2 linked regions of the Anolis sagrei genome follow. The protein of the gene in region 1 interacts with the protein of each later gene in a biochemical or structural test. Links are inferred from orthologs where the notes say so. Each region holds a gene or a part of one and is shown on either strand. Other genes may lie near its edges. The genes, in order: ATP7B and ATOX1.

What was found.
Region 2: the proteins of ATP7B (region 1) and ATOX1 form a complex in vitro, tested with the Homo sapiens proteins (3 studies listed by BioGRID and IntAct). The link is inferred for Anolis sagrei from reciprocal best matches to the Homo sapiens genes ATP7B and ATOX1.

What each region holds. Positions count from the first base shown.
Region 1 is NC_090021.1:139,736,314-139,751,701, reverse strand, and holds the start of ATP7B (copper-transporting ATPase 2), read left to right. Parts: upstream 1-9,675; 5' UTR 9,676-9,927; coding exon 9,928-10,155; intron 10,156-13,445; coding exon 13,446-14,628; intron 14,629-15,388. UniProt on the Homo sapiens protein: Copper ion transmembrane transporter involved in the export of copper out of the cells. It is involved in copper homeostasis in the liver, where it ensures the efflux of copper from hepatocytes into the bile in response to copper overload.
Region 2 is NC_090022.1:84,266,891-84,282,376, forward strand, and holds the start of ATOX1 (copper transport protein ATOX1), read left to right. Parts: upstream 1-8,489; 5' UTR 8,490-8,604; coding exon 8,605-8,610; intron 8,611-14,188; coding exon 14,189-14,264; intron 14,265-15,486. UniProt on the Homo sapiens protein: Binds and deliver cytosolic copper to the copper ATPase proteins. May be important in cellular antioxidant defense.

The sequences.
Region 1 (15,388 bases):
CTTCTACCCCGCCCTTCTCACCCTGAAGGGGACTCAGGGCGGCTTACAGAGGCAAAGGCACAATTCAATGCCTGCATCATAAAACAATCATACACAAAATTACATCAATTCGCAATTAATAACAGTTCATGCATTATAACCATAAAATCAATAAAATCAATAAACTTATACAAACCCAGTTTCTCCTCTTACATGGTCAGCGTTCGCTAACTCATAGATCTAGTTTTATGTTCTACTTCATCAATCCTGTTGGTCTTACTCGCTGATTGTCTAATTTAATTGCCAGAGTGCCCAAAGGCCTGGTCCCATAACCACGTCTTCACCCTCCTCCTAAAGGCGAGGAGGGATGATGATGCCCTGATTTCCCCCGGGAGTGAGTTCCACAGGTGAGGGGCCATCACTGAGAAAGCCCTGCTCCTCGTCCCCACCAGCCTCACTTGTGACAGTGGTGGGGTCGAGAGCAGGGCCTCCCCAGATGATCTCAGACTCCGGGGCGGGACATAGAGGGAGATACGTTCAGACAGATACACTGAACCGGAACCGTATAGGGTTTTGTAGGTCAAAACCAGCACCTTGAATTGTGCTCGGAACTGAATCGGCAGCCAGTGGAGCTGGCACAGCAGGGGGGGGGGTGGGCTCCCTGTATGTCGCTCCGGTGAGCAGTCTAGCCACCGCTCGCTGGACAAGTTGAAGTTTCCGAACAGTCTTCAAGGGCAACCCCACGTAGAGAGCGTTGCAGTAGTCTATTCGGGATGTAACAAGAGCGTGGACCACCGTGGCCAGATCAGACTTCCCACCGTGGCGAGATCAGACTTCACCGCTGAGACCTGGGGTTCCAGGCTCAGCGATGAGTCCAGGTTCTGAAATCATAGAGACACGAGCTTCTCTTGATGGATAAAAGATCATGAAAAATGAGAGATAACTGCCAGAGAGAGACTGAGGATTCGTGAAATCTGTGAGAGGCTATAGCAGGGTATGCCTACACATCAGTATAGTGCTCAACATGCAGCAAAATTTGCTGCATTTTGCTTTTTGAACCCCCGCCCCCAAATATAGTGTGGGTTCAAATTGTGGATGGAGGATCTATGGATACAGAGGACCAACTGTGCTGTTTTGTCAGATTTTCACCCTTTGTTTTGCTTTTAAAACTTTAGAAAAAGGAGAAAAAAATTCCGCATCCACTGACTTGTTTACATGTGCTTATTGGTTCTTAGTTGACTGGTTTTAATGGCTATCGGTACTCGTACTTCTAGCTGGAGTCAATCCAGGAGGAAAAGAGGTTACTCTCATATTAGTTCTAAAGCAAAAGGAAATACAGCAAATGCACTTGTTTGAAACTTCAGACAACCAATGTTTCGTTTTATTTGTTCAATGTGTTAGTTGGTCAAAGGACAGATGTGGGCAAACAGGGAGCTTGAGTGAGGCTGCTTATGTAGAGCAAAGAAAACATGCTGTTTAGTCACTTGTGCTTCCTGGACAAAATGTATGCAGCCTATTTCATGCAATAAAGCTTTTTATAAGCAGAAAATAGATTAATTGGGCACAAGTACATTCCTATGACTGTCATGTGGCCTTTAATTCCTGGTTGCGTGGTCATTGCCTTTTGGCTTTTGCTCATGGTATGCACAAAGCACAACGCTGGAACTATAGGAGGATGAAGACTTAGCTCCCAAAATGCATAGAATTGTACTGGACAAAAGAAGCTTGAAATTATTAACGTACACAGTAAGTGTAAATATTTATAGGCTGAGCTGGGTAGATGTCTTATAAAGTTCACAGAGCATGTATTTCCTGGTATATTGAATAAGATGTGTTTACAATCCTGTGTGTGAGTTTTACAATCTCTTTAAAAGCTTGTGGGATTTATTTCTCAGTAAATAAGCAAAGGTTTGGATTGTAAATCTTGGTTGAGAAGATAATAGAGGTATGGCACCAGTGCTGAAAAATGGCCAGCGTATTGAGGCTACAGATAGAAAATTTTAAAACCAAGGTAACAGATATTTCATAACGTAAAAAAATGTAACAAAATGTATGTTTTAAATAAGTGCCTTATTAGATTGGGTCAAAGGGAATAGAAAGAAATGTGACCATTTTGCACTGTTTACTCGGTTATATTCTGCCTTTGAGAATCATCCTGGTATAGTGGTTTCAGCACTGGACTATAAGTCTGAGAATCAGAAGCATTGGACTATAAGTCTGGATCCCCGCTTGGCCATGGACACCCACTGGATGGTTGATCTTGGGTGAGTCACGCACTCTCAGCCCTAGAAATCCCTAAAATCAATTTGGCACAAAATAAAAAGAACAATGGCAACTTCTGTCTTTCCTCCAAAAGCTTCTTTCAGTACTGATGAAATTATACAACTTGTCCATTCTTGTAAATGACTCTGTGAGGCAGTTTAGGTTGCAATACATAGTATGGCTCACTCAAAGTAAATTCCTAAACTTCATTGCTGAATGAGATATGAACCCAGGTCTCCTTAATTAGACATTATTGCTGAGTGTGTAAATACCTCACCAATATCTCTTAAATGTGTACTTGTACAATAAAATAGCATGACATTGGATATTAGGAAGGGGCAGAGTGCAGCTCTCCTCTGCAAGCATGGAAACATGAATGAATGTGAATAAAAGTTGCTAGAATGAGGCGTGATGGCCAAGATGGTTGCAAATGTTCCAGAATATTTTTTTCTGATCTGGGTTATTTCTGCATGCGTTTTCCTATAAGTACATCATATCCTCTTTCAACAAATTCACCCGGTCAAACGCAAAGGTCCTATCAATGCCAGCAAAGCATGAAGTTCAAATGATCTGCTTTTGCAAGTGATGTACAACTTATCCATTCTTGTCAGTGTGATGTATTTTCTTGAGTGCTGGACTACAACTCTAGAGACCAACTATGCTTGGACATGGACCCCCCCCCCCCCCCCCGCAGTTTACATATCACTCCAAGAACTGTACTGTAAAGGCAGAACTGTAGATCCACCCTGTTTCAGAAGACATTAAATAAGCCATCCCGAGTCCTTCCGGGGAGATGGAGGCGGGGTATTTCTCAGGAAAAATGGTCCGCCGAGTTGTGCGTGTGTAAGGGCCCTTCCAGACAGGCTCTATATCTCAGGATCTGATCCCAGGATTCTGTTAATACCTGATCATCTGGTAGTGGGGACTCATATAATCCAGTTGAAGGCAGAAAACCTGGGATAACCTCACCACCTCTGAGAATGCTTGCCATAGATGCAGGCGAAACATCAGGAGAGAATGCCTCTAGAACATGGCCATATAGCCCGAAAAAAACTACAACAACCCTGAGATAATCTCCTGGGACATAGGGCCTTCCTGGAAGGGCCCTGAGACAATGCCACATGTCTCTGGCTGGAGTCTTGTATGTGTCCTTATCTTGGAGAAAGCCATATGGAGCTCTGTGTCGCTTAGGCCTGAGGGACACTATCATTTGGAGCTTGGGAGCAAGTCTGACTGCCCCTTCACTGGTACTGAGAGGAAATAGTGCTTGCCAGTGCTTCCTGTACTAATTTGTCTTCCTCTCAATCTCTTTTGCAGATACATACCGATTCCAACCCAATTCTAATAGACACATTTATTTTTAAAAGCTGGATTTTTCTAAAACTGTAGAGTAAAAAGTGATTTTTTAAAGGCATTAAAACCTGAAAGAAGCACTTTAACTGTGAAAACGGTTCTACATTGTGTGTTCAAGTTGGGTATGATTTTATTTGTTAGTGTGGGTCTGATCTAAGAGTGTGGCTCTCCAAGTATTGGACTGAAAGTACTGATATGTGTCACTATTAACTGTGCTGTTTGAGGAACTGAATGCAAGCAACAACTGAAAGGCTATAGTTTGTCTACTCCTTTCTTTAAGCATAGGTCTCATACTGTACTTGCCAGAGTATGATGTTGAATTGTGAACCCTGTTTAAACTTCCTGCCGGGAAGAGTGTCTACGCACCCAGTGGGAAAGTTTGTTTGCTGGTAGGAGTTTCAACATGTGTACATAGAATGAACTCTATCCTAGAATAATTTGAATTTGCACTGAGTAACACAGACTTGGTGTTGCTGTCTCCTAAATGCTAGACCAGGATGCCAACTAAAGTGCAATTTATTTATTCATACTTGAAAGTGAAGATGTTAATTCAATCGTAATTGTGCTCCCAGAACAGAAGTTCCAAGTTTCAAGATCATACATGAATAGCATTTGTCCATGGTCAGCAAGATCTATGTGAATATATTGCAGAACGTTTTGAACAATCTGTTTGTGTATGTGCGTCTATACAAGTGCCTTCAAATCATCTGTTGATTTATGGTGACCACATGAAATTTCATATGGTTTTCTTAGGCAAGGAATATTCAGAGGTGGCTTTGCCATTTCCTTCCCCGAAAATATAGCCTACAGCACCTGGTATTCATTCGATACACTGCTGGAATTGTGAACTGGACACAAGCAGAGCTGGATGATCTGGACAGAAAAACAAGAACACTTATGACAATTCACTACGCATTATACCCACGTAGTGATGTCGACAGACTTTACCTGCCCATAAAATCAGGAGGCAGAGGACTTCTGCAAGTGAAACAAATGGTAGAAGAAGAGAAACATGCAGTGGCAGATTATGTGAAAGGCAGTCAAGAACCAACATTGATGGAAGTCAATAGTAGTAAACTGCTTCAAGTGCAAAAGACAAAAAGTGTAAAAACACAATCCAGAGCAGAAGAGAAAACTGGCAAAAGAAGGCTCTCCGTGGACAGTTCCTGGGAAAAATTGAGAGCCAAATTGACAAAGAAAAAATATGGTTGTGGCTCACAAATGGGACTTCGAAAAAGGAGCCGGAGAGCCTGATTCTGGCAGCCCAAGAACAAGCCATTAGAACAAATGCCATCAAAGCCAGAATTGAAAAGTCGACAACAGATCCCAAGTGTAGACTCTGCAATGAAGCAGATGAAACAATAGATCACATCCTCAGCTGCTGCAAGAAGATCACGCAGACAAACTACAAGCAGAGGCACAACACCGTTGCTCAGATGATTCATTGGAACTTGTGCCACAAATACCATCTGACAAAGAACTGGTGGGATCACAAGCCGGAAAGAGTTACAGAGAATGAACACGTCAAGCTACTCTGGGACTTCCGAATTCAGACTGACAGAGTTTTGGAACACAATACTCCTGACCTCACAATCATGTTAAAAAAACGAAGTATAGATTGTCGATGTTGCAATCCCAGGCAACAGCAGGATTAATGAGAAACAACTGGAAAAGCTGACACTATATGAAGATTTAAAGATCGAACTGCGGAGAATGTGGCACAAACCAGTAAAGGTGGTCCCAGTGGTGATTGGCACACTTGGTGCAGTGCCTAAAGACCTTGGCCTGCACTTAAACACAATCGGCGCTGACAAGATTACCATCTGCCAGCTGCAAAAGGCCACCTTACTGGGATCTGCACGCATTATTCGCTGATACATCACACAGTCCTAGACACTTGGGAAGTGTCCAAAGTGTGAGGTCAGGAGTATCCAACTGCCAGCAGAATGTCTGCTGTGGACTCATCTTGCTGTGTTTCAAATAATAATAATAATAATAATTATTATTATTATTATTATTTATATTCCACCCTATCTTCCCAAGGGGACTCAGGGCAGATCACAGTGCACATACGTGGCAAACATTCAATGCCGTTTGGACAGATGGGCCAGAACAGATAAAAAAGCGGTATGTTGTGTTGACGTCCAGCTTTAAAGTATTTAAGTTTCTAAACTTACAGATGTGTATTTTATGTACTGACCCATAGAATCAATTTGATTTAACTCCCATATGCTTAGGTTTAGCCGTAGTCCTGGGAGGATTTAAGACCCATGCATTGTTCACTTATTCTGCCTTCATTTTCTAAAATGGGGAAGGTGGATGTTGGTTGTTTCTCCAGATGTTTTGGATTCATTTCCCAAAACTCCCACCCAATGTGATCAAAGAAAAGGGATTATGGAATTTTTGGTCCCAAAGCACCAAGCAATGCAAAATTTCCATGCAGCTATAAACCGCTTCTGTGTTTTTGTTGGTTGCTTTTGGCCTTGAAATGTCCAAAGGAACATGGGCATGTCACTTGATCATTTCATGATTCTCTAAACCAGAGGTACAGATGTGTAAGCCTTTATAGATATGCTTACACCGCAACTCCCATTTCCCCTTTTGCAAATGATGGAGTTGTAGTCTAGGAACATTGTAGTCCAAGAACACCCTGTGGTGCCCAACCAGTGAATGGTAAAATGGCAAGACCAAAATGAATACCAACCCGCTCTCCCCAGATTCAAACCTCTGATCTGTCAGTCTTCAGTCCTGCTGGCACATTGCGTCACCGGGGGCTCCTGTTGTTTGTAGTTGACTTGACGCCATTTAGTATGATGATATCCGAAGCTCAGGGAAATCCTCCAAACTGGACGAATGAATAAGAATAATGGCAGATGAGGATTGGTGTAATCAAATATACAGTTCTGAGTTGGGGGGGGGGGGGGAATAAACCTGCTCGACAAGTCTAGCGTAGGTACTTCCTTTGTTAGGAGAAATAGCCAAGTACCGTTGATATATTACTGTGGACAGTGAGTCCCCCTCTACATTGCCATATAATCCAGATTATCAAAGCAGATAATCTGGATTTTGCATGGCAGTGTAGAAGGGGCCTGCATAGCTAGCCACTTGTTTTTTAATAGAAGATTGTTGGTAGGGGAAACTGTTTGTGGATTTTTTTTTTAGAAATAAGAAATGTAATAACGTAATATTTTGTGATTATGGTTATTAGTAATTTTAGTAGGACTATTTAGCTATATCTGTAATGGTAGAGAAATACATTTTTTCTTTATTGAATTTTGATGGCTGGGACAAAGATAGTTCATTTTATAGGGAGAGTTGAAGGGGAAAAAAACATTTCCCTGTTTCCACTGACTTTTCCTTCTCCACACTTCCCATTTCATAAACAAGGGTTGTTTCTACAACAGCAACATTGGGGGCGGGGGGGGGGGGGGGGGATAACAGGAAAACTAGGGGAAATAGTTGACTCCTTCAATTAAACAAAGTTTTTTCTAAATATTTTGTGGTTGGTTTCATGGTTGATTAACTATGTGGTTGTAGAACCTGTGGATAAGGGGAACCAACAGTATATGTATACATGCTCCCCCCTCCCCCCCACACACCTTTTGTCCTTGTTGTTTCTTTTCTTCTTTTTTTCTTCTTTTCCCCCCTGAATATTTTTATTTGGTGGCGGTTTGGACTCTGTCCCTTCCTCTGATAATGGGTGAGGAAAGTTATCAAGGAATCCTCAGAGAACGGGTAAAGTTTTACCTTCCCTTCAGCACCATATGTTGTAATCTAGGGCAGGGCTTATTAAACTTTTTCCACTTGTGGCCCCTTTCTATCTGAGGGCCCTTCCACACAGCCATAGAATGCAGAAGACCAAGGCAGAAAATCCCACAATATCTGCTTTGAATTGGGTTATCTGAGTCCACACTGCCATATATTTCAGTTCAAAATAGAAAATGTGATTTTATTCAGTTGTGTGGAAGGGGCTTGATACATTTTTACATAACCCCAGGTAAATAGGTATGCAAAATAAGGCTTGTGTAACAGGCTGATTTCCTGTTTTGTGGAGTACAGCTAAAGTCCATTGTAAATAGCTACTGTTGTTGCTGACAGATTTGTGTAAATGGATAGCGTTCAGAAACCTTTTACTGTTGCCACATTTCCGTGACCCCACAATTTAAGAAATAGTGGTCTAAGAAACGTGGAAAAAAGAGCGGCAGGTCAAAGACAGATAAGTTTGGGATTATGTAACTGTTATGGAAGACCTTTGAGCTATTTGAAGTCTGAGAAGGGGATTGGCTGGTTTTTTGGAAAATATTCAACTGCGTGTTATCATCATGTTTAGTCTGTAGTTTTGTAAATAAACACTAATTCAGTACCCTTCCAAAGGAAGCCAGTGTGGGTAGGCAGCACTGCCTGCCAGTTAATGCCTTACAACTTGGTGGATTGGGATGTAAGACATTAACTGGGGAATGGAGATGGGTATAGCAATGCAGTGATTAACTTGAAGTCAGCTAGAACCGTACAAAAAAAGAGACCACAAGGGAATAATCTGTCCCAAAGTAGGAAGGAAAGTTAATTGAACTGCTGAGGCAGTGAAAAGGGCCACTTTGGCAACCCGAGTGTCTGCTCGTAGTGAGCCTATTAATGAAGTACATATTTAAGAGTTTAGTGAAAACCAGCCACTTTGGATGGGCAGCAGGACTGCCTGCTTGGTAAAGTAAATTAACATATATTAAGCGGAAATGTGCCTTGGACCGCGAGAAGATCCAAGCAGTCCATACTTCAGGAAATAAAGCCCGACTGCTCATTGGAGGGAAGGATATTAGAGGCAAGGATAAAATACTTTGGCCACATCATGAGAAGACAGGAAAGCTTGGAGAAGATAATGATGCTGGGAAAAAAGGAAGAGGGGCCAACCAAGGGCAAGATGGATGGATGGCATTCTTGAAGTGACTGGCTTGACCTTGAAGGAGCTGGGGGTGGTGACGGCCGACAGGGAGCTCCGGCATGGGCTGGTCCACGAAGTCACAAAGAGTCGGAAATGACTGAACGAATGAACAACAACAATTCTTTGGTACTACTTTGAAAAAGGCCTTGTTTGTTTTTGGATCTCAGGTCATATCACTCAGGGCCCTTCCACATAGCCCTATAACCCAGAAGATCCAGGCAGAAAACCCCACAATACCTGCTTTGAACTGAGTTATCTGAGTTCACATCGCCATCTTACTTTACCTACTCGTTGTCCAAGTAGGATAGTCTTCCAAGATTGGTGTCCTGGCAGTGGATCCGTAGGTGACTGTGGAGCCCTATTCTTGATCTGCATCAAGAATAGGGCTTGATCTGCATCATTGGTTTCCAGACGGAAAGGGGTCCCGGTTGGGGTTCGCTTGACATGACTTCCTCTTGGCACGTTTCTCTCTTTCACCCTCCATTCGTGCCTCTTCAATTTCTACAGCACTGCTGGTCACAGCTGACCTCCAGGGCCGACCAAGGGCAAGATGGATGGATGGCATCCTTGACTGGATTGACCTTGAAGGAGCTGGGAGTGGCGACGGCCGACAGGGATCTCTGGCATGGGCTGGTCCATGAGGTCATAAAGAGTCAGAAGCGACTGGACAAATGAACGGCAACAAATATTAAAAAGTACAGACACCCTCTCTGATTTTCCATCTGACAACGCACTTTGGGTTCAGATGACTCCTGGAGTAGGAATGGCTAATGCAAAGGAAGAGAAAGCCAAACATGCTTAAAATAGTTGGGCTGGACAGGTAATTGTGTTTATAAAGTGACTTCACCTGAGGAGCTAACACTTCAGCCAATCCCCTCTGGCTTTTAGTGTCTGTTCTTCTCAGTTTCTGCAGCCTGTGAGACTTTGAAAGAGCTACGCAGCATGCATAATGCCCTCCGCATGCTTAAGTAATGTGTGCTTCTAAACAAGTATAATTAAATTACAATTTGTAAAGCAGATTCCTCCGCGATTGAAGCAGGATGAAAGCTTGGCTGCTGAAGTTAATTATACACCGAGGTTGCTTCATGCAGGCCATATTTGACAAGTTTGTGAAAGGCAGCCTTGACTGAGGACACCGCAGAGCTGTGTGCAAAGATTAAAGGAGTTAGATGGGGTTTCTCATTGAGCACAAGGCTAACAATTGGTGGGAAATACCTAAACCTGTTTGCAAACATAGCCAACTGCAACAGGAGGAGGTAGGGAGGAGTCAGTTCAACTATACGAACCATACAGCTTCCTTTAGGCTGGAGTAGAAATCATTGCAGGCTCTGGAGAAATCGATGCAGGCGGTCCCAACTCGGGAGCCCCCCTTTTAAAATAAAACTGGCACCATAAGGATGGAAAAGAAAAAAGAGAGGCCTACGAGAAAAAGCCAGTCCTCGCTGGCAACATCTCAACATAAAAATATTACTCTGGTGCATTTCTCTGAGGAATTGCCTGCTAGAAAGCCATCCAGGTTGGAAGATGGTGAATATGATAACCTGAAAACAAATGGTTTGTTTCAGAAAGAGAAGGATGTTTCTGGTAATGTCTTGCCAGGAGAACCGGACATCATCGTCAGACAGGTCAGTTTAAATGGGATGGAGGAATACACATTAAATGTTTTGGCACATTTGTCCTCTGCTCCTTGTTTGGGTCTTGGTGACTGTGAGGATTGGAGCCTTATACTTTTTTACTTGGAAATGGGCGCCATTGAACTCAATGGTATTTACTTCTGAGATGGTGCATGGAAAAAAAAATACAGCAATGTCCGTGGAAGCAGTGAAAATGGAAATACTAATTACCAGTTTGTGAGATTCCTTAAACCAACCTTTTTTTGACCAGGGACAGCTTGACCAGGGGCCCCACTCCAACATTAGTACCAAAGGGTTATGAATCAGTTTTTGGTCAACTTTGGTTTGGTTATTTGGGGTTCTGATTCAGAAAATTGCATTGGATAGACCATGTCATCTTAGTTTCTGATACAGAACATATCCCATCCAGTAGACGCCATCTGCTCACCCCAGAAAACTGTATTTAATAATCTAGAGTTGATGTGGTAGCAGGAATCTTTTGTAGTCAGCCTCTCCCCTCCAGACATCCCTGTTTCCATATTTAATGATTTAAAGCATCAATATAGTCATTAAGTGACTTGCTCTGATAGCTACCATCTGGTATTGGTTTGTGAGCAATGTGAAAATGGTGACTTACGGCGACCCCATTGATTTCATAACATTTTCTTGTCAACTAACACTCAGAAGTGGTTTTGCTAGTTCAGTAGGAGAATGGGAAATCAGTTATTGCTTGGAAAACCAAACATCATTATAGGTAAACCTGTTACTGGAAAATGATAGTAACTATAGTTCTTAATAATGCAAAAAGTTGCAGCAGTTGCTTCTTGTCTTTAGGTTTATGGATAAATTAAACATATTTTGGAGTACATATCAAAGAGTTATTTCATCCGTTTCTTTTTGTTTATCATATAAATATGGATATTTTCTATATAAATTGTCTCAAAGAAAATTGAAACTCCTTTTAGCTGTAATGACAGGATCTGAATAAGATAAAATAGTGCCGCTGCCACCTCCAATCTGGAAGTCTCTGAAACTCTACTTCTGATTTTGAAAAACAGGGTTTTAATAATTTTAAACTGTTCAGGAGAACCCTGGAAGAAATTATCTTCCGGTTTTGGAGGGTTTGGGAAGCACGGAGGGGAGGTCATGGGTTGAAAATAAGACTTATGGGCACACGAGGCTGCAAAATCATATTTTCCAATACGTTTTGCTAAGATACATCTAGTTGCTGAAATTCTGAAAAGCATATCATTATTTTGTCTTGTAGCTCAACAGTTCCTGTCCATTTTGTTTTTCAACATTTAAACCCAACATCAAAGTCTTTTAAGATGAGAAAGACTGGAGTGGGAGAATTCATTTAGAAGCAAAGTAGAGAAGGCAGTAACAATTTTTTCAGAGGCCTATTAGGGTATATGTTATTGAAATTATGAGCATAGTTGATCCTTTCGGTCTACTTAGGACTGCTTGCCTTCTTGTAAAATACATCATTGGTATCTCTCGGTATAATGCCTTTTTATGAACATGAAAATACTCTGAATACTTTTGTTGTTAACAACCATCAAGATGACGTTGACTTCTGGCTCTCTATGACAGAGAGACCGCCAAATCATCCTGTCCTCACCATCCCTGCTCAGGTCTTGGAGATTCAGGGCAGGCATAACTTCCTTGGTTGAATCTATCCACCTGGAACGCAGTGCTCCTCTTTTCCTATTGCCTAATATTTTACCAAGCATCATTGTTTTTCTCTCTCTAGTGAATCATGTATTCTCATGATATGTCCAAAGTACATCAGCCTCAGTTTATGGCCTCATCAGTTGGGCAGGGGTAAAGCGGGGGATATCGTGGGGCAGCAAAGGGAACTGTCAAACTGTGTTCCCTCCTGTTGAGGTCCATCCTCTGCCTCCCCATGACATTTCTTTATCTGTCCCCGCTTCCTTTTCGGCTCCTCTTCCTTCAGTGAGTAGTCGGGTCTTCAACCGACTCCTCTAGGCTCTGCTTCCTCAATGCTGCCGGCAAGTAGCCCCCACAGGGCCCCACCAGAAGTAGCCCTGTATCATGTGATGGGCTGCTGGAGACTATGTTCCGGCAGCACAGAGAAGTAGGGAGAAGATGCTTCTCTCGCTGCATCTGATGAGGTCCTAGGCTATCTTAGCTTCTAGGGCAGTGGTTCTCAACCTGTGGGTCCCCTGGTGATTTGGCCTACAACTACCAGAAATCCCAACCAGTTTACCACCTGTTACAATTTCTGGAAGTTGAAGGCCAAAATATCAGGGGACCCACAGGTTCTAGGGAGTGTTCAGGATTGATTTGCTCTGGGATTCATTTATTTGTCTTTTTGGCAATTCAGGTATTTGTATGTCTCTCCTCAGGCCCCACATGTCAAACGGCTGCATTCACAATTTTTGTATCTACAGATGAGTGTACAAAAGGTGAGGCACAAATGTGGGAAAGGGAAGAGGAACATATTTCTTGGAACCTCATGGTTTCCCCAAATACTTGAATAGTTAATCCTACAGTACATAGTGTGTATGTATTGTGTTTGTCCTCTATGCCAACCAGTAGACCAATGGCTGAATTAGGGCTTTTGTTCAGCTTTCTTTACCAATGCTCATGCGTTTAACAAGTTTGCATTTAAGGAGAGTTAACATTCAGTTTCACAAACATGTTTATTCTTCCCCCTCCAGTGTCGCACAAAGGAAAACCAGGGCAAAGGAGCACAGGTCTAAGGAGCTGTAATTCAGAAGGGGACTTGCCAAGAAAAATCAATTTTAACTGTCAATGCTTTTTCTTAATCTGCTCTTTATAAGTGTTTATTCATTTTAGTTTCCCCAATGAACAATTTGGAGTTACAAAGCCCAGGAAATTCTAGTTAAGAGCTTTCTGGGAGAGAAACGATCAGACACATCGTCCTGGTTTGGTAGATCAGGCGTACTAGTGTGCAGTGTATTTGTGTTACAGTGCAAAGAATCCTAGAGTTGGAAGAGACCTCGTGGGCCATCCAGTCCAACCCCCTGCCAAGAAGCAGGAAAATTGCATTCAAAGCACCCCCGACAGATGGCCATCCAGCCTCTGTTTAAAAGCCTCCAAAGCAGTGGTTCTCAACCTGTGGGTCCCCAGATGTTTTGGCCTTCAACTCCCAGAAATCCTAATAGCTAGTAAACTGGGTGGTATTTCTGGGAGTTGTAGGCCAAAATACCTGGGAACCCACAGCTTGAGAACCACTGCTCCAGAGATACCTTTGCTCTGCACAATACTATAATATCCTTTCAAAACAAGCACATTGTTTTCTCTTTTCTTTTCAGGCTGTATCATCATCAGCAATGAAGCAGAAGTTTGCCTTTGACAATGTTAGCTTTGAGGATGACTTGGAGCATTCACCCGTTCTTCTACCCCAAGTGAACACTGTTACTGTTGATATCTTGGGTATCACTTGCCAAGCCTGTGTACAATCGATAGAGGGGAAAATTTCCAAGGTGAAAGGAATTGTTGACATCAAGGTGTCTCTTGAGCAAAGGAATGCTGTCATAAAATACTTGGGACTGGAAATAAGTCCCCATCAGATCTGCCAGGAAATCAACGATATGGGATTTGATGCCAGTATTGTAGATACAACACAGTCTTCAGAACAAACGTCTCAGGAAACTTTGGTTAAGATGAAAATAGAAGGTATGACCTGTGAATCTTGTGTTAATGCCATTGAAGAAAAGATTGGGAAACTCCATGGTGTGAAGAAAATAAAAGTGGCTCTCAGCAGCCAGGAAGCCACCATCACTTATTGTCCACTTGTAATCAGCCTTGAGGAACTAAAGGATAGCATAGATAACTTGGGATATAAAAGCACTGTCAAGCATAAGCAACCCTCCTTCAATCTTGGCTCGATTGACGTTGAACGCTTACAACAGACAGATGTAAGGACACCTGCTGGGCTTGATGGCACAAGCGCTATGTCAGAAGACACCGCCACCACAGCTTGTGTTGCAGTGCTGGGTGTGGAAGGGATGCACTGCAAATCCTGTGTCAACATAATTGAAAGTTCAATCTCAGACATGCTTGGGGTACAACGTATTAAAGTGTCCTTGGAACAGAAAAATGCCACAGTGTGGTTTGACCAGGACGTGGTCACTCTATCCTCGTTGCAGCACGCCATCCAAGCTCTTCCCCCTGGTAACTTTAAAGTATCCTTTTCTAGTGCGATAGAAGGTGACAATGGACGACTTACCTCAAAGACAACATCCTCTTTGCCTTATGTCTCTAGAAGTCCTCAGGATGAATCCGGTATAGCTATTATTAAGGTTGATGGCATGACTTGCAATTCTTGTGTAAAATCCATTGAAGGCTCCATATCCCAAAGGAAAGGGATCCTCCATATCTCCGTATCTCTAACCAAAGGGACTGCAACTATCTCCTACAATCCGATCATGACCAATTCTGAAGAGCTGAGAGCTGCTATAGAAGACATGGGATTTGATGCCGTTGTCCTCTCAGGTATGATGACACTTTTCTTCTGTCATGGTGTCTTGTGACTGAGAAGGATCTCATCACCTCCATCAACAGTACTAGAAATGGATCTGAAAACTATACAGCTTACTTGCTTACTTGTTTACATTAGCTGTCCCTTTCTGTTTGTACTTTTTGCTGTTATCATATTCTCCTAGTATAGAAACAAAATAGGGATGCCATAGCCTTGGAATGGTTCAAGTTTGGTTTGGAATGGAGAGGTCCCCATGTATCCCAAGAATGAACAAAAATTGACCCAGGGCTATAAGCAGCCTCAAAGCTGGTTTCCCCCGTCCTTTGGGGGGGGGGGGGGGTGAACTTCCAGGAAAGGCTATTATGGCTTCCCTTACCAAAATTCTTTTTTTCATACCAGAAATTCCAGTCTCTTCCAGACACTTCTGGATTTTTCTTGTTTGTTTTCTTGTTTGTGGGATGTGCAGTGATTTGGGGTAGCCTGTGTGTCCTTCTGAGGCTTCCAAGCTTAGAAATTTAGCTCCTGGACCTACCATCTGGATTTACCCCTTACTTGAAACCTTGCAATATGTTGTTCTGGGCTGGAGAATTTGGCCAGGGTTGCTTAAGATGAAGTAAACAGGAGATCAAAAACATCTGGTAGACCAGATGTTGGCTAGTCCTATAATAATGTAGTCTAAGATCTTGGGCTTGGTCTATTATCTCTGAGTGATCATAGAATCATAGAAAAACAGAATTGGAAGAGACTGCATGGATCATTTAGTCCAGCCCCCTG
Region 2 (15,486 bases), on another chromosome or scaffold:
CCTCTTCTTTCTCTTCTCCCCAGTCAAAAATATTAGCCCTGCACCCATTCTATCTGTATAGATCACTTACCTTAACTATGCCTGAAAGCTGGGAAGAAGTGCTAGATTTTTCTCATGCATATTCACGAAAGAAAAGTTTCAGGTAAGAAAAGTTATTAGCCAATCCAAAACAATTTAAGAAGACATTTTAATTCAAACAGAAAAGAATGCTTTTATCGTTGATGCCATTTTCTCTCTGTGTCTCTCTCACACAGATACACACTTTCCTTTTTGTGAACTCAAACTTCCTTAATTTGGCATTTAAGGCTGAACTCGGTAACTACCATTATTCTTTTGTTGCTATTGTTATCCCCTAATTCCCCCATTCCTTTAGTATTACTATTTTTAAAAAGAGCTTTTAGCAATTCGAGCACAACTCATGTTCATTCTTTAATCTCTCAAGAAAGAACCACAATTGAGTGTTAAAAGCAGGTTTTTCCCCCAGCATTTTAAGCAATTACTTCTTTATTTTTTCCTGGAAACTGCTGAGAAAATTCTCAGCAATAATTGCATTTTCATTTTATTTTTGAACAACTCTAGATGAAGACATATAGCCAGTTTGAGTTTAATAAATGCCCCACTAAGGTTTCACATTACAAGGGTGAGAACTGTTCTGATCTCCAGATGTGGTTGGACTACAATTCCCAGCAGCCCTGGCTAGCATGGCCAATGCTGAGAATGCTGAGAATTGTTAATTCAGCAACATCTGGAAGACTCCACAATTCCCACTTCAATCCAGGATGTTTTTGTTTGTCTTTTCAGAAATTAAGACATTGCCACACACACAAAAAGGCAAGAGCAGGACAGGCAGACTTCTATATGCTAATTATAATTTTAGAAAGGAACACTTCAATTTAAATATAAATACAAGACATCTTACCACACCTGCTCTGTTGGTTGTCCAGATGTTAACTATTAATTTTAATACACTCAACTCTATCTTCCTGTGATTCTTGATCATTAAGCTACACACGAACTGACCAGCTCTGCAAACATATTACTGTTACATTCAGAAAGGGCTACATAACTATCTTACTTTTAACCTCAGGATTAATTCTGCTGATTCACCACAGCTGCCAACAACCAAGACTATCCCAAGAACTTTTGTTCCTGAGGAGGAATCAGAAATGACACCTCTTAATCCTTCCCTACCTCTCAAGGAGCATAGTATTACACAGAACTAGTCATGTAACTCTAGCACAGAAAATGCCCCACACGTCACACAAAAGCAATAAAAAATTGCAATCAGTTGTCCTTTCATTGATACCTCAATCCAGACAGCTGAGACTGTAATCCCAATTTGTCCAATGGTAGAAGTGGTCCTGCCAATAACACCTTAAATCAAATGTGCATGTTAGGCATGTTTGAGAGTAACAAAAAGCTTGTAGCAAAAATACAGCTATATGCGACTTTTTCATACTGTATGGGTTTGAGTGTTGGACTAGGATTCTGTGAGAGCGGGCTTCAAATCCTCACACAACAATGGAAACCCACTGGGTGACCTTGAGCAAGTCACACTCTCTCAGCCTCAGTGGAAGGCAATGGCACATCTCACTCTGACTATCTTTCTCTAAGACACTATCACTATAAGCTAGAGTCAATTTGAAAACACATAACAACAAAACCACATGTGAAAATTTATAAGATACCATTGTTCAATGAAAAAAAACATATATGCCCGAGATGTGAAATCATATGTGAAAGGGATGTAAACTGGTTAAATTTGCCTTGTTAATGGCAAGTGCTCAAGGGACTTTACTAATTGTACGAAAGGCAGAAATTTCTTGATATATTCTCATGCACTGATGGTGAAAGTCACATTTGTTGAATAGGAGCCTGCTGAACAACTCTTAAAGGCACCAGAGCCCTGCTAGTTGAAGCCAATGGCTTCCTATTGCCAGTAAGACAATGTCATGATTTGATTGGTCTTTACTCACTTCCTTGAATACTATACAGCTTCATATGAACTTAAACATGTAAGGGGTTTTTTCTTCTTCTGAGAATGAGATAAATGACTGAAGATATTTCACTTGCATAGCTAGACACACCTTTATTCAGAAATCAATCCTATACGGTGTGTAAAAGATATCTACTCTAAGCCATTTTCAGGATTTCAGCTAAGTCACCCAGTCCTTACAAATTTAATCAGAAGCAAGTCTACACTGAATTTAGTTATCTGAGAATGAAATTTATCAAAATCAGTGTGATATCTTTATAAAATGAATAGGGTCAAGGTGCATGGTATGTCTGTTAGACTTCTGTAAAAGGCAATATGCTGCCCAATGTGCGTATGAAATGTATGAAGAGATTTCTATGCTGGTTTTCATTTCAAATATGCCAAAGCACTCTGCAATATTACAGTGCCTGAAATCATAACATACAATAAAACTATGCAATAAAACAATGAGCATCCATAGAACAATAAACCAATAAAATAGTTCATTGAAGTCATTGGGGTAACTACAGGCCTGTAGCAGGATTTCGTTTCGGGGGGGGGGGGGGGGGGAGGCTGAATTTTTTTCAGGGGGGGTTTCGGGTGGGGGCTGAGTCTGAGTGAAAGAGGGTCTAGCCTAGCAAACCTAACATACAATCATTACACCAATACCCCCATGCATATGGGATATATTGAATAGGGTGATCAGATCATGATATGAATAAACATAACAGTTTAAATAATGCAGCAGTAAGGACTTTTCGTGAACCACCATCAGAATTGGGGGGGGGGCTGAAGCCCCCCGAGCCCCCCCCCCCCCCCCACCCCCCCCCCCCCGGCTACATGCCTGGGTAACTAGCAAGGTTAGTGATCAGAAAAATAAACACCTGGCAAAGCACAGGATGCAGAAAACTTCAAGACAAACTAGTTTATTTTATCATATGCTTTTACTAACTCCCTCCCAATATTGTTGGGCTGGAGAATCCAAAAAAAAAAATGGAATCTAGAAAAGCTTATTAGCTAGCCTTAAAAGGTGCCACTAGACTCCTCCTTTTTATACTAAAACAAACTAACATAGCTATCTCTCTGGAAATGGATGAAGAAATCTTCAGCTGGTGATTAAAATACTCTATATAGGAAGCACCCCACAGAGACATTATCCAACGGAAAGATCATTTAGCCTGGTGGGTGCCGCAACAGAGACATCCCTCCTCTATACTTTCAGCAAGTAAACTTCACAATGCTGTGGGGTACAGTGGCTCCTGCACTGAGACCCTCACCATAACCTGGTCCAAAGCTATTTAGAGATTCATAACCAATTTGAACTTTGTATTTAGAGACAGAGAAAAATTACTCTTCCTTTATCATTAAGCATCTGGAGGAGTCCCTGGTAGTGTAGTGGGTTAAACCCTTGTACCGGCAGGAGTGCTGACCAACAGGTCAGCGGTTCAAATCTGGGGAAAGTGAGTTGAGCTCCCTCTGTCAACTCCAGCTCCCCATGCAGGGACATAAGAGAAGCCTGCCACAAGGATGTTAAAACATCAAACACCCGGGCATCCCCTGGGCAATGCCCTGGCAGATGACCAATTCTCTCACATCAGAAGCAGCTTGCAGTTTCTCAAGTCGCTCCTGACACACACACACACACACACACACACACAATAAAATTCAAGCATCCTGAAATATAAAGACTCCGGCAAGCACAAGGGGTACTTAAAAGTGCCATCCATGCATTTGGTGGAGTTTATTCCTAAGTAAACATGCACAAGATAGATTGAAGGTAGTCTCATTATTCCTTTAAAAACCCATTTCTCAGTGCTTGAATATTCAGTAAACCTCTGATTGATAATTTCTGAACTACCTAGTAGCGGTGGTAACCCAAATCTGCCAGATCATTTTAGAGAATTCAGCCTAGTTTGGAGGGTAGGATCAAGCTCCCTTCCCATTCCAGGGTCCGTGGATTTTTCTATAAATTTTATCCTTTTTCCCACATCTAAGACCTGAAATGCCCTGACTGCAATCCACATCCTAACACATACAATAAATAAATCCAACTAAACCTGTTCAACTATATCTGTTCAACAGATATGCGTATATGGGAAGTATGTTCTTTTCTGTTAACCAAGCCTTATGCTCCATTAGGTATATTTCAAATTGAGCTTAATGCTTTGATCTTATGTACCAGTATGTCTTCTCAGAAATAATTCCCAGTGTGTTCAGCGGATCATATGCCTAGGTAAATAAGCCAGGGCCACCTCAACACAATTTGCTTCCCTGGGGAGATTCATAGTATCACACTACTGTGGCATCCAAGGCAGAAAATCACAAAAATGCTCTTTGGAAGTAAAACACTTAAAAACTGTAATTATGCATTTAAAAGGAAGAATTTGCTTACCTTTTCATCATCACCCAAAATCAAGGAAGCAAGCTGGATGTCTCAATCTACCTAATGCTGGGCCAGATTCAGGACTCCAGCTTAAGGACAGCTGATCGATGAAATGCTCTCATCAAGCCATTGCTGCAAGTCACTTTTGGTCGCTGCTGGTGTGAGAGAATCAGCTGTCTCCGTAGAAGTTGCCTGGGGGACACCCGGATGTCTTGCAATCCTGCAGGGAGGCTCCTCTCATGTCCCCCTCTCATGTCTAATATAATGCCAAGTTTTTAAACTTTGAGTGTGTTTGTGTGCATTTTTAATACATTACAACAGTACCCTTTGCTCGCTCCTGATACAATAAATAAATAACCAAACCATTTGTAGATTGTAACTTTTAACTAAGTGTCCTAAGGCAACACTACTCAGATATGACCAGTGCTAGTCCATGAATCATCTGCTGATGATTTGTAGTGAGTTTCCAGGAAATTATGGCTCTGCTTATCTGATGAATTAAGGACCAGGTCGCTGACAGAAAATGGAATTGGTTGAAAAGTGGAACTACAAGGAATTTTAGCTAGCAAATAAAAGATTAAACACTAGGTGGCGATAAGTCAATGGAGAGAGAAATAAAACCAATGCACCAATAATGCAGCAGAAGTGGTTGGAAGAGTAGACTAGGGGCCAAACGTGTTGCACAAGGCTATAATTTAGGTGGGTCAAAACAGCAGAACATCCAAAACTGAGTTGTCAAAAAGTGTGGGATGTTTGTAGAACAGGCATGGGCAAACTTCAGCTCTCCAGGAAAGACAGGAAGAGGCTGTTAGGAATTATGGGAGTTGAAGTCCAAAACACCTGGAGGTCTGAAGTTTGCTCATGCCTGTTGTAGAATCATTATAATGAATATGGTACCAGTCTCTGACACACCGGGGAGAAAGTTCACAGCCTGCCATATAAGACAGTTTAGGAAGAACTAACAGGACGGTGACTTGATTTTTTTTTTTTTTGGTCGTGTCAGGAGTGACTCCTGGCGTGAGAGAATTGGCCGTCTGCAAGGACGTTGCCCAGGGGACGCCCGGATGATTTGATGTTTTATCATCCTTGTGGGAGGCTTCTCTCATGTCCCCGCATGACGAGCTGGAGCTGATAAAGGGAGCTCATCCGCCTCTCCCCGGATTCGAACCTGCGACTGTCGATCTTCAGTCCTGCCGGCACAGGGGTTTAACCCACTGCGCCACCGGGGGGGCTCCATGGTGACTTGATGATACAGACAGACATAAGTTAAGGTATATATGACTGAAGTTACACTTAAAAATGTACCTGTTTCAACTTACATACAAATTCAACTTGAGAACAAATTGACAGAACCTGGGGACTACCTATCTGGGTTGACTTGTCCACAGGTCAATGTGAGTACTTTAACTTGACTCTTATCCAAAAAGGAACCATCCTTTTTATCTGAGTAGTGCCACAAGCTTAGTCCATCCCATGTAAACCTAAAAGAAGCACCAATTTGCTTCCTCCCATAGGGCCCTTCCAGACAGGCCCTATATCCCAGGATCTGATCCCAGGTTTTCTGCTTTAAACTGGATACAAGTCCATAATGCCAGATAATCTGGGTTAAACAGAAAATTTGGGATATAACGCATGTCTGGAAGGGCCCTTGTAACAAAATGTATAATTACAAAGTAGGTTGAAAAGGGTCAGTTGGTTAGTTAGCTGAAGTCAGTGAAGTTGTTAGTCAGTTAGCGGGAGTCAGTGAGGTAGTTTGCTGAAAGCAGCTGGAAAACTAGCTAGGGAAAAGCTAAAGTGGTTGACTGGTAGCAGGAAGCTAATGACAGTAGAGAGGTTTTAAAGGACCAAGTGGTCAGGATCTCTATGCCAGGCAAAAGATTATTAGAAGTCAGTTTTCATATGTTAATATAAAAGTTCTTTTGGAAAAGAGGAAAGGCTTAAAGGAAAGTCATGTTGAAACTCTGTTTTGTAACCAATAAGCATTTATACTTTTGAAACCAGCACGCTTTTGTCACAAGAACGATACAAATAAAACTGTTTCCTTTTAAGCAAAGTCTCTCTCAATCTAGGTTCTTGTGGGTTTTTTCGGGCTATAGAGCCATGTTCTAGAGGCATTTCTCCTGACGTTTCGCCTGCATCTATGGCAAGCATCCTCAATCTCTCACCACCAATTTAAGAAGACACAAAAGGTGGTAGAAAAATCAAACAACCTTTTATTCTTTGGTGGCATCTTTGCACAGGCTGGTAGCCGGACCCTTCCTGACCTTTTTACATTTTTGGTGAGATAAATAAATAAAAAGTCCCGCCACGCAACCAGTTTAAGTGCCTCACAGCCCTTATATGGAAGCTTGTTACTGTTGTGGGGCAAGCTGAAATCCCCACCAAAGGGATAGCCCGGCCCTCCATTTCACCTGGCAATGCTGTGTGACAGGGGTGTCTCTCACACACCCATTTCAGAATGGACCACCACCCCCCCCCCCAATATCTTACAACCACCACTTGCCATTACATTAAAAAATATCCAAGCTCTGGGTTCTATTACAATGAGAGAAGAAGAGAATTGATTAGTTGGATTCCATTATTCATTTATCTGCTCTCTTTTCCACCTGCACAGTCCTTTCTGACTTTAAGAGGCCAGACCTATCTAGTTTTTAAGAATACCATATTAATTATACAATATTACAGTATTTTATTATATAATATTAGTGCAGCATACATTTTAAAACTGGCTTTCATCTCACCCATTTTTCCCCCTCTTCCCAAGCCATACACATTTACAACCTGGCTTCAGACTACAAAAAAGGAGATTCCACCTGAACATGAGGAAGAACGTCCTGTGAGAGCTGTTCAGCAGTGGAACTCCCTGCCCCCGAGTGTGGTGGAGGCTCCTTCTTTGGAGGCTTTTAAACAGGCTGGAGGGCCATCTGTCTGGGGTCCTTTGAATGCGATTTTTCTGCATCTTAGCAGAATGGGGTTGGACTAGATGGCCCATGAGGTCTCTTCTAACTCTAGGATTCTAGTCCTCAAGAGGTGCAGCAGCACAACTGCTCCCAAGTGTATCTTGAGAGTGTATCTACACTGTAGAATAATGCAGTTTGACGCTACCTGAATTAGGAGCCGTAGTGCTGCAATGGGTTAAACCCTTGTGCCAGCAGGACTGCTGACCTGAAGGTTGGAGGTTCAAATTCACGCAACAGGAAGAGCTCCCGTCCATCAGCTCCAGCTTCCCATGCGGGGACGTGAGAGAAGCCTCCCACAGGATGGTAAAACATCCAAACTAGGGTGTAGAGTGAGCTCTCATCTGTCAGATCCAGCTTCCCATGCGGGGATATGGTAAAGCATCCAGGCCAGGGTGTAGAGTGAGCTCCTATCTGTCAGATCCAGCTTCCCATGCAGGGACATGAGAGAAGCCTCCCACAGAATGGTAAAGCATCCAGGCCAGGGTGTAGAGTGAGCTCCTATCTGTCAGATCCAGCTTCCCATGCGAGGACATGAGAGAAGCCTCCCACAGAATGGTAAAGCATCCAGGCCAGGGTGTAGAGTGAGCTCCTATCTGTCAGATCCAGCTTCCCATGCGGGGACATGAGAGAAGCCTCCCACAGAATGGTAAAGCATCCAGGCCAGGGTGTAGAGTGAGCTCCTATCTGTCAGCTCCAGCTATCCCATACGGGGACATGAGAGAAGTCTCCTACAGGATGGTAACATATCCGGGCATCCACTGGCCAACGTTAATTCTCTCACACCAGAAGCGACTTGCAGTTTCTCAAGTCGCTTCTGATACAATTTTTAAAAAACCACTTGAATTGCTGTAGAATCTTAAGATTTGTCGTTTGGTGAATCGCCAGCACTCTTGGGCAGAGAAGGCGAAAGGCCATGCAAAACGACAACTCCCAGGATGCCCTACAATTAAGTCCTGGCAGTTAAGCGATGACAAACTGCGTTTAGTCCTAAATGTCGATGCACCTTAAGTACAATGTTCCCCACGCGCCTCTGAGCATGTGCAGAGAGAATAGCGTGGCGCGTCACTCCCTGCCAACGGAATGGCTCCCCCTGGCGGCGCAAGGAAGGAAGGGCGCTTCTTAGCCCCCCCTCCTCCCGCGGTCGAAGGCTGAAATAGGCGGGGAGTGGGCGTGGCTAGCCAGCGGTGGGCGGGGCTTCCTTGGCCTTTCATTATTGCGGAGGAAGGTGGGGAAGAGGCTGCTTCTCCGTTCCGGTGACTGGCAGAAGGGAAGCAGCCGCAGCAGCCATGCCGGTGGGTGACTTCCAAAGGCGGCTCCAAGGGGCTGGGTTTGGGCCGGGAAAAGGGTCAGGGCAACAGCGGGGGAGCCAAGGATGGAGCAAGGGATCCACTCCCCCCCCCCCCAATCATTGCTACAACAACCTCCCCTTCCCTGCCCAAAAGAAAACGAGATCTGCTAAATCAGATCCTCAGGCCCAGGATGCATCTACACTACAGAATTAATGCAGTTTGACAGCACCTTAACTGCCACGGCTTAGTGCCACGGAATCATAAGAGCTGTAGTTTGGTGAGGCATCAGCACTCGTGGACAGAGAACTCTAATAGATCTTGCAAAACTACAAATTCTATGATTCTGTAGCATTCAATCATGACAGTTAAATTGGCTTGTTATTAATAACAGTGCCTGACTGCTGATATGGAAAATGAAGAATTCAAATATAGTCCCAAAGCCAATCCAGTTGAATGTTTTCACTACACAAGATGGATCTAAGACAGCGGTTCTCAACCTGTGGGTCCCCAGATGTTTTGGCCTTCAACTCCCAGAAATCCGAACAGCTGGCAAACTGGCTGGGATTTATGGGAGTTGTAGGCCAAAGCACCTGGAGACCCACAGGTTGAGAACCACTGGTTTAAGATGGTTCTCAACCAAACACCCTAATGTTTCAGTGGAGATCCTATCTGCAAGGGATGTGATAAAGGGATGATGTATAGCAGGCATGGGCAATTGGTAGGCTGTTAGGAATTGTGGGAGTTGAAGTCCAAAACACCTGGAGGGCCGAAGTTTACCCATGCCTGCTGTATAGTTTGAGAAAGGCTCTCTAGGATTTCACCCCATACGTTTTGAAGAGAAGTTTTGCAACCCTTTTGATTCAACTCATATAGAACGTGTTGCAGTAGTTTCAGTGTTGGAGTGCCACTCCAGAGACCAGGGTTCGATTCCTCACTTGGCCATCGAGACCCATTGAGTGACCTTGGCCAAGTCACACACTCTCAGCCTCAGAAACCCCATAATGGCTTTAGGGTCATCAGAAGTCAGCACTAACTGGAACGCACACAGGAACAACAAGCAGAGGAGCCTCACCCTTGTTGGCATATGGAATGAGATGTTTTGCTCCGCTATAGTGAAGATAAAACCATTCCTGATGACTGTTAAAACCCTTAATGATGACTGTTCAAATGGTGTATTTAGTTGTCCTTTGTAAAATTGTAGCTTAACTTCTGTTTTATTATTTTGTTTTGCTTTGGGTTTATATTGTGTGTGTGTGTGTGTGTGTGTGTGTGATTAAGTTGCAGCATTAAGCCAGCTCAAGTCGTTTTGGGAATGGTTGGCTGTTACTCACATGTTTATACTGCCCTAGTTTTTTGTGGATCAGTGCCCACTTTGTCAGGTTTGTGCCATGATAAATGTCTTAAGGTGCACAAAGACCTTGTTGTCTCCTTCTGTGTGGACTTTTTGGAACCCCTGAATGCAACCTGAGAGATGAAGAGGATCACTCAAGACCTGGCAAGACACACACACACACACACACACACACACACACACACACAGAGGCCCAGAAGAACTATCCAGTGAAGGCAAAGCCAGTTAAAGAGTTTGTTCCTTCCTGAGAAATAAAAGGTTTTGCTTCAAGACATCTCTCAGAAGTAACTTCAGCAGTACAGTGATTATGTCAGACAAACAGCTGTAGCCTGGCTTAAAAAGCTGTATGAACTTTAAGCCTGACCACAGTCCAGCGAGGGTGTTTGCCCACACAAGTGACCTTCTGGGCCTAAATGCAGTAAACATTGGGGAAATATCAGGGGTCTTTGGACTCCCAACCTCAGATTCCTCGAGCCACAATAGTGTTAATCAAGCTGATGGAGGAACGCAGGAATCCAAAAAAAAACCAAAAAAGTAACTTCTCCAAGCTCTGGCCCCAGTGATTAGTCGAAGGATTGGTCCCTTACTGTGCTATACAGTAAAGTCTCGCTTATACAATAAAACCGGCCAGCAGTATGTTGGATAAGCAAAAATGTTGGCTAATAAGGAAAGATTAAGGAAAAACCTATTAAACGTCAAATTACGTTATGATTTTACAAATTAAGCACTAAAACTTTTTTTACAACAAATTGACAGAAAAAGCAGTTCAATACATGGTAACATTATGTAGTAATTACTGTATTTACAAATTTAACACCAACCCATTGCAGTGTATTGAAACAACTGTGGATCCAGGTGGGAGTCAGATAGTGTTGGATAATACAGAATGTTGGATGAGCGAAGGTTGGATAAGTGAGACTCTACTGTATTTCTTTTAGGCAAAAAGAGTTCATGTGTGAGCAAGATTTGCCTGTGCTATAAGATCTTGCACATGCCTTTATCATTCTAGAACAAAAAATACAAAAGAGCCCCTTGCAGAACTTGACTGTTGACTTTAAGAGCAATAATAGAGGGGGAAAAAGACGTAAGGAGGCATCTACTGCTTAATGCAAAGATTGATCATTTCTCTCCTCCCTCCACCATCATCTAGAGAAGCTAGACATATCTGGCCTCACTAATAGGCAGGGTGAAGCAGCTGCCTCAAGCACTATATGTTAATGTATAGTTAGCAAACAAGTTCTTCTGTGTTCCCTAAGTTAGCCAGCTGCCCTCAAATGCAGTGTCCGATGTTGCCCTATCACCAGTGTTGCTGTAAGAGTCAGGGTTGTTGACTTACAACACTCAGATTCTCCCAGCCATGACTGCAGGTCCCATTGGCCATACTGGCTGGGAGATTCTGGGAGCTGAAGTAAAAAAAAAAAAACTTTTGCAAAATCTGGTAAAACTTAGCAGAGTGAGAAGAAGCCCTATCTTCTTGTCATGCATCAAGCAGACAAGAGTTCCCTTGCCTAGTTTCCAACAGACCTCACAACCTCTCAGGATGCCTGCCATGAATGTGGGTGAAAAGTCAGGAAAGAATGCTTCTGGAACATGGCCATACAGCCCAGAAAACTCACAGCGACCCAGCCCTGTCTTGTTCTCAAGCAACGAAATGTCTTGGGCTGGCCTTGAAACTGGAGGTGAACTAGACCTTTTGAAAGGTGGCTGGAGGCTGACATTTCTGCATCATGAGGCCTTATGTCCATTTCTGACTCCACCAACCACAACACATATTTGAATGTCTGGCTTGGATACCAGGCCAATTTCCAGCTTCGCTTCTGTAAATTGCGTCTTTAGTGGTACCAAGAAAAACCGGTTAGTCATTCAAAGACTGACTTTTTATTCCCATGCTGTTCTGTAAGCTGTAGCAACAGTGCACAGCAACACACAGCTCACTTGGGATTGGTCCATTTAGGAAGGATCCAGAATTTGCCACGTCTTATTAATCTCTGAGTGATTCATGGTTCACACAGGGAAAAGACAAAAGTATTACTAACCTTTCTAATGTAGATTTTTCCTAGTTAATAGATGGTGGTGAAAATTACTTGAGATCAAGTGTTAGTGGAGGTAAGACTAGGGAGATATAAATAAGCAGGTCATCATTACAGACACTGGTTCAGATACTGCATTTTTTTCTGAAACAGATTTTGTAGCCAGGTGGTTTTTTGAGAACATGTCCAATTTTATGTATTTATTTTTAAAATTCTGCTTTGTGTACCTGGAATAAGATTTAAGGAAACACAGAAAAGAAAGCAAAAGTGAAATAGAAAGCAAAAACAGAAAGAAGTGATCAGAAATGCTCTAATTTATCTGAAATATTGTTACACAGTCATGTTTAGGAAAAGTAAGAAGAACCAATGAAATTTGGGCAATACACCATCTATCATATAGAATCATAGAATAGAATCATAGAATCATAGAATCAAAGAGTTGGAAGAGACCTCATGGGCCATCCAGTCCAACCCCCTGCCAAGAAGCAGGAATATTGCATTCAAATCACCCCTGACAGATGGCCATCCAGCCTCTGTTTAAAAGCTTCCAAAGAAGGAGCCTCCACCACACTCCGGGGCAGAGAGTTCCACTGCTGAACGGCTCTCACAGTCAGGAAGTTCTTCCTCATGTTCAGATGGAATCTCCTCTCTTGTAGTTTGAAGCCATTGTTCCGCGTCCTAGTCTCCAGGGAAGCAGAAAACAAGCTTGCTCCCTCCTCTCTGTGGCTTCCTCTCACATATTTATACATGGCTATCATATCCCCTCTCAGCCTTCTCTTCTTCAGGCTAAACATGCCCAGCTCCTTTAGCCGCTCCTCATAGGGCTTGTTCTCCAGACCTTTTATCATTTTAGTCGCTCTCCTCTGGACACATTCCCGCTTGTCAATATCTCTCTTGAATTGTGGTGCCCAGAATTGGACACAATATTCCAGGTGTGGTCTAACCAAAGCAGAACAGAGGGGTAGCATGACTTCCCTAGATCTAGACACTATGCTCCTATTGATGCAGGCCAAAATCCCATTGGCTTTTTTTGCCGCCACATCACATTGTTGGCTCATGTTTAACTTGTTGTCCACGAGGACTCCAAGATCTTTTTCACACGTACTGCTCTCGAGCCAGGTGTCCCCCATTCTGTATCTTTGCATTTCGTTTTTCCTGCCAAAGTTGAGTATCTTGCATTTGTCACTGTTGAACTTCATTTTGTTAGTTTCGGCCCATCTCTATAATCTGTCAAGATCATTTTGAATCCTGCTCCTGTCCTCTGGAGTATTGGCTATCCCTCCCAATTTGGTGTCTTCTGCAAACTATGTTGTTTTGGCCAGTGATACATTGTTAAAACATTTTTCTTTTGAAACCAATGTGATTCTTGTTATGTGATTCCAACCTATGGACATCCGCTTGTAGTGTTTTCTTGATAAGATTTATTCCCAAGGTTTGTAATTGTCTTCATCTTAGGGCCCTTCCACATAGCCGTATATCCCAGAATATCAAGGCAGAAAATCCCACATTATCTGAGTGTGGACTCAGATAACCCAGTTCAAAGCAAATATGGTGGGATTTTCTGCCTTGATATTCTGGTATATAGGCCTGTGTGGAAGGGTCCTTAAGTAGTGTGACTTGCACAACGTCACACAGTGGGTTTCCATGGTTGTGCAAGGTTTCAAACCCTGGTCTTCTGGAGCCCTAGTTCAATATCCAAACCACAACACCATGCTGGCTCTGCAGCACTGTTTGGGGGGAGACATAGGGGCCCTACCACACAGCAATATAACCCAGAATATCAAGGCAGAAAATCCCACAATAACTGCTTTGAACTGGGATATCTGAGTCCACACTGCAATATATTCCAGTTCAAAGCAGAGAATGTGGGATTTTATTAATCTGTGTGGAAGGGGCCATAATCAAGAATCTGAAGGGGGGTTTTTTGGGTTTTTTTGCAAAGATTATGATTGTGGGATCCAAAGCCACATTGGATATTGTCCTGCAGCAAACATTTCCCAACATGGTACCTTTCATGCACATTGGTGCAGAACTCACCCTGCACAAACAGTGGATGGAGAAGGAGAAGTTTATAGTTCCATCATATCAAGGGGTGGGGGGTAGAGTTTTGCCTACTGGCTTGTCTTTATTTCATAATTTGTACTGTTGCCCAAAGGATCTGTTTCAATGGCCTCTCCAATATTTCCTCTCATGTTTTCAGAAACATGAGTTCTTCGTAGACATGACCTGTGAAGGATGCTCCAATGCTGTCACCCGGGTTCTCAACAAGCTGGGAGGTAAGTGGTACTAGTGCCTGACCTCTTGCATCTTTTTGGTATTGTACTTTAAAAATACCTGTTGGTACAGGGTAAGGCATCCAAAATCCTATTGCTGAAAGGGCAGGTCACTGCACTTTGAATCCTTCACCAAATATTGCATCAACCTTAAATAAAGATAAGTAGACAGCTATCCTCTTGCATTGTAAATTGTATTTGTCTAGAACTGTGGGTGTTTTCCAGGTTGTATGATGTTTTGCTTGCATATCCTATATATATAGCCTGCTCAAATTTAAAAGAGGGTTGGGAAATTCTGTTTCTCCAGCTATTGTTAGACTGCAATATCCATCATGCTTCCCTCATGGCTGTATTGTCTATGGATGATGGCAGCTGCAGTCTGGTAACATTCCTCACCCCTAATTTAAAAGATTGCAGTGCAGTTTTTGCTTCTTTCTCTGCTGTAGCTAAAACAACTTGATCACTGCTGTTTTTCCTCCTAATGCAAGTAGTCCAGTCAGTAACTAATTATTGATTCTTGACAAGCAGTATTTACTTTATACCCCATAAGTCATAGTGAAATAGAGAAAACTTCATTTATGACAGGCAGATATCCTCTGCTCTATTATAAGAATTTGTTCAGTATTTTTTTTTCTCATTATTGATGGTTCTCTCTATAACTGCAATTGTTTCTGCAGGAAGCGGTGAGCATGCTGTAGTCCTTAACTTATCAGGTGACAAATCACTTGCCCAAATGTTGTTAGGCTAACAGTTGCAGGGCTTTGAAAGATCTTCAAAACAAGCTACACAGAAATTCCTTCCATGTTAGGAATTCTGTAATGTTTCAGAATCACATGTACAGTAAACCCTCTGTATCCATAGATTCAACCATCCATGACTTAAACATATTTTTAAATCCCAAAATTAAACCATGTTTCTGCCATTTTATATAAAGGACATCATTTAATGGGATTTGAGCACTCATGGATTTTGGTATTCATAGATAGTCCTGGAACTAAACCCCAGCAGATAACTAGGAGGCGGGGCAGGCTGTATTTTATTCTGGTTCCCAAAGGCTTGCTCAAAAAGCCACATTTTCACTTTTCTATGGAAGATCAGGAGGGAGGGGGCTGATCTAGTATTCCTAGGGAGGGAGTTCTACAGCTGAGGAGCCACCACTGAGAAGGCCCTGTCTCTCATCCCCATCAGTTGTGCCTATGAAGAAGGCGGGACCGAGAGCAGGGCC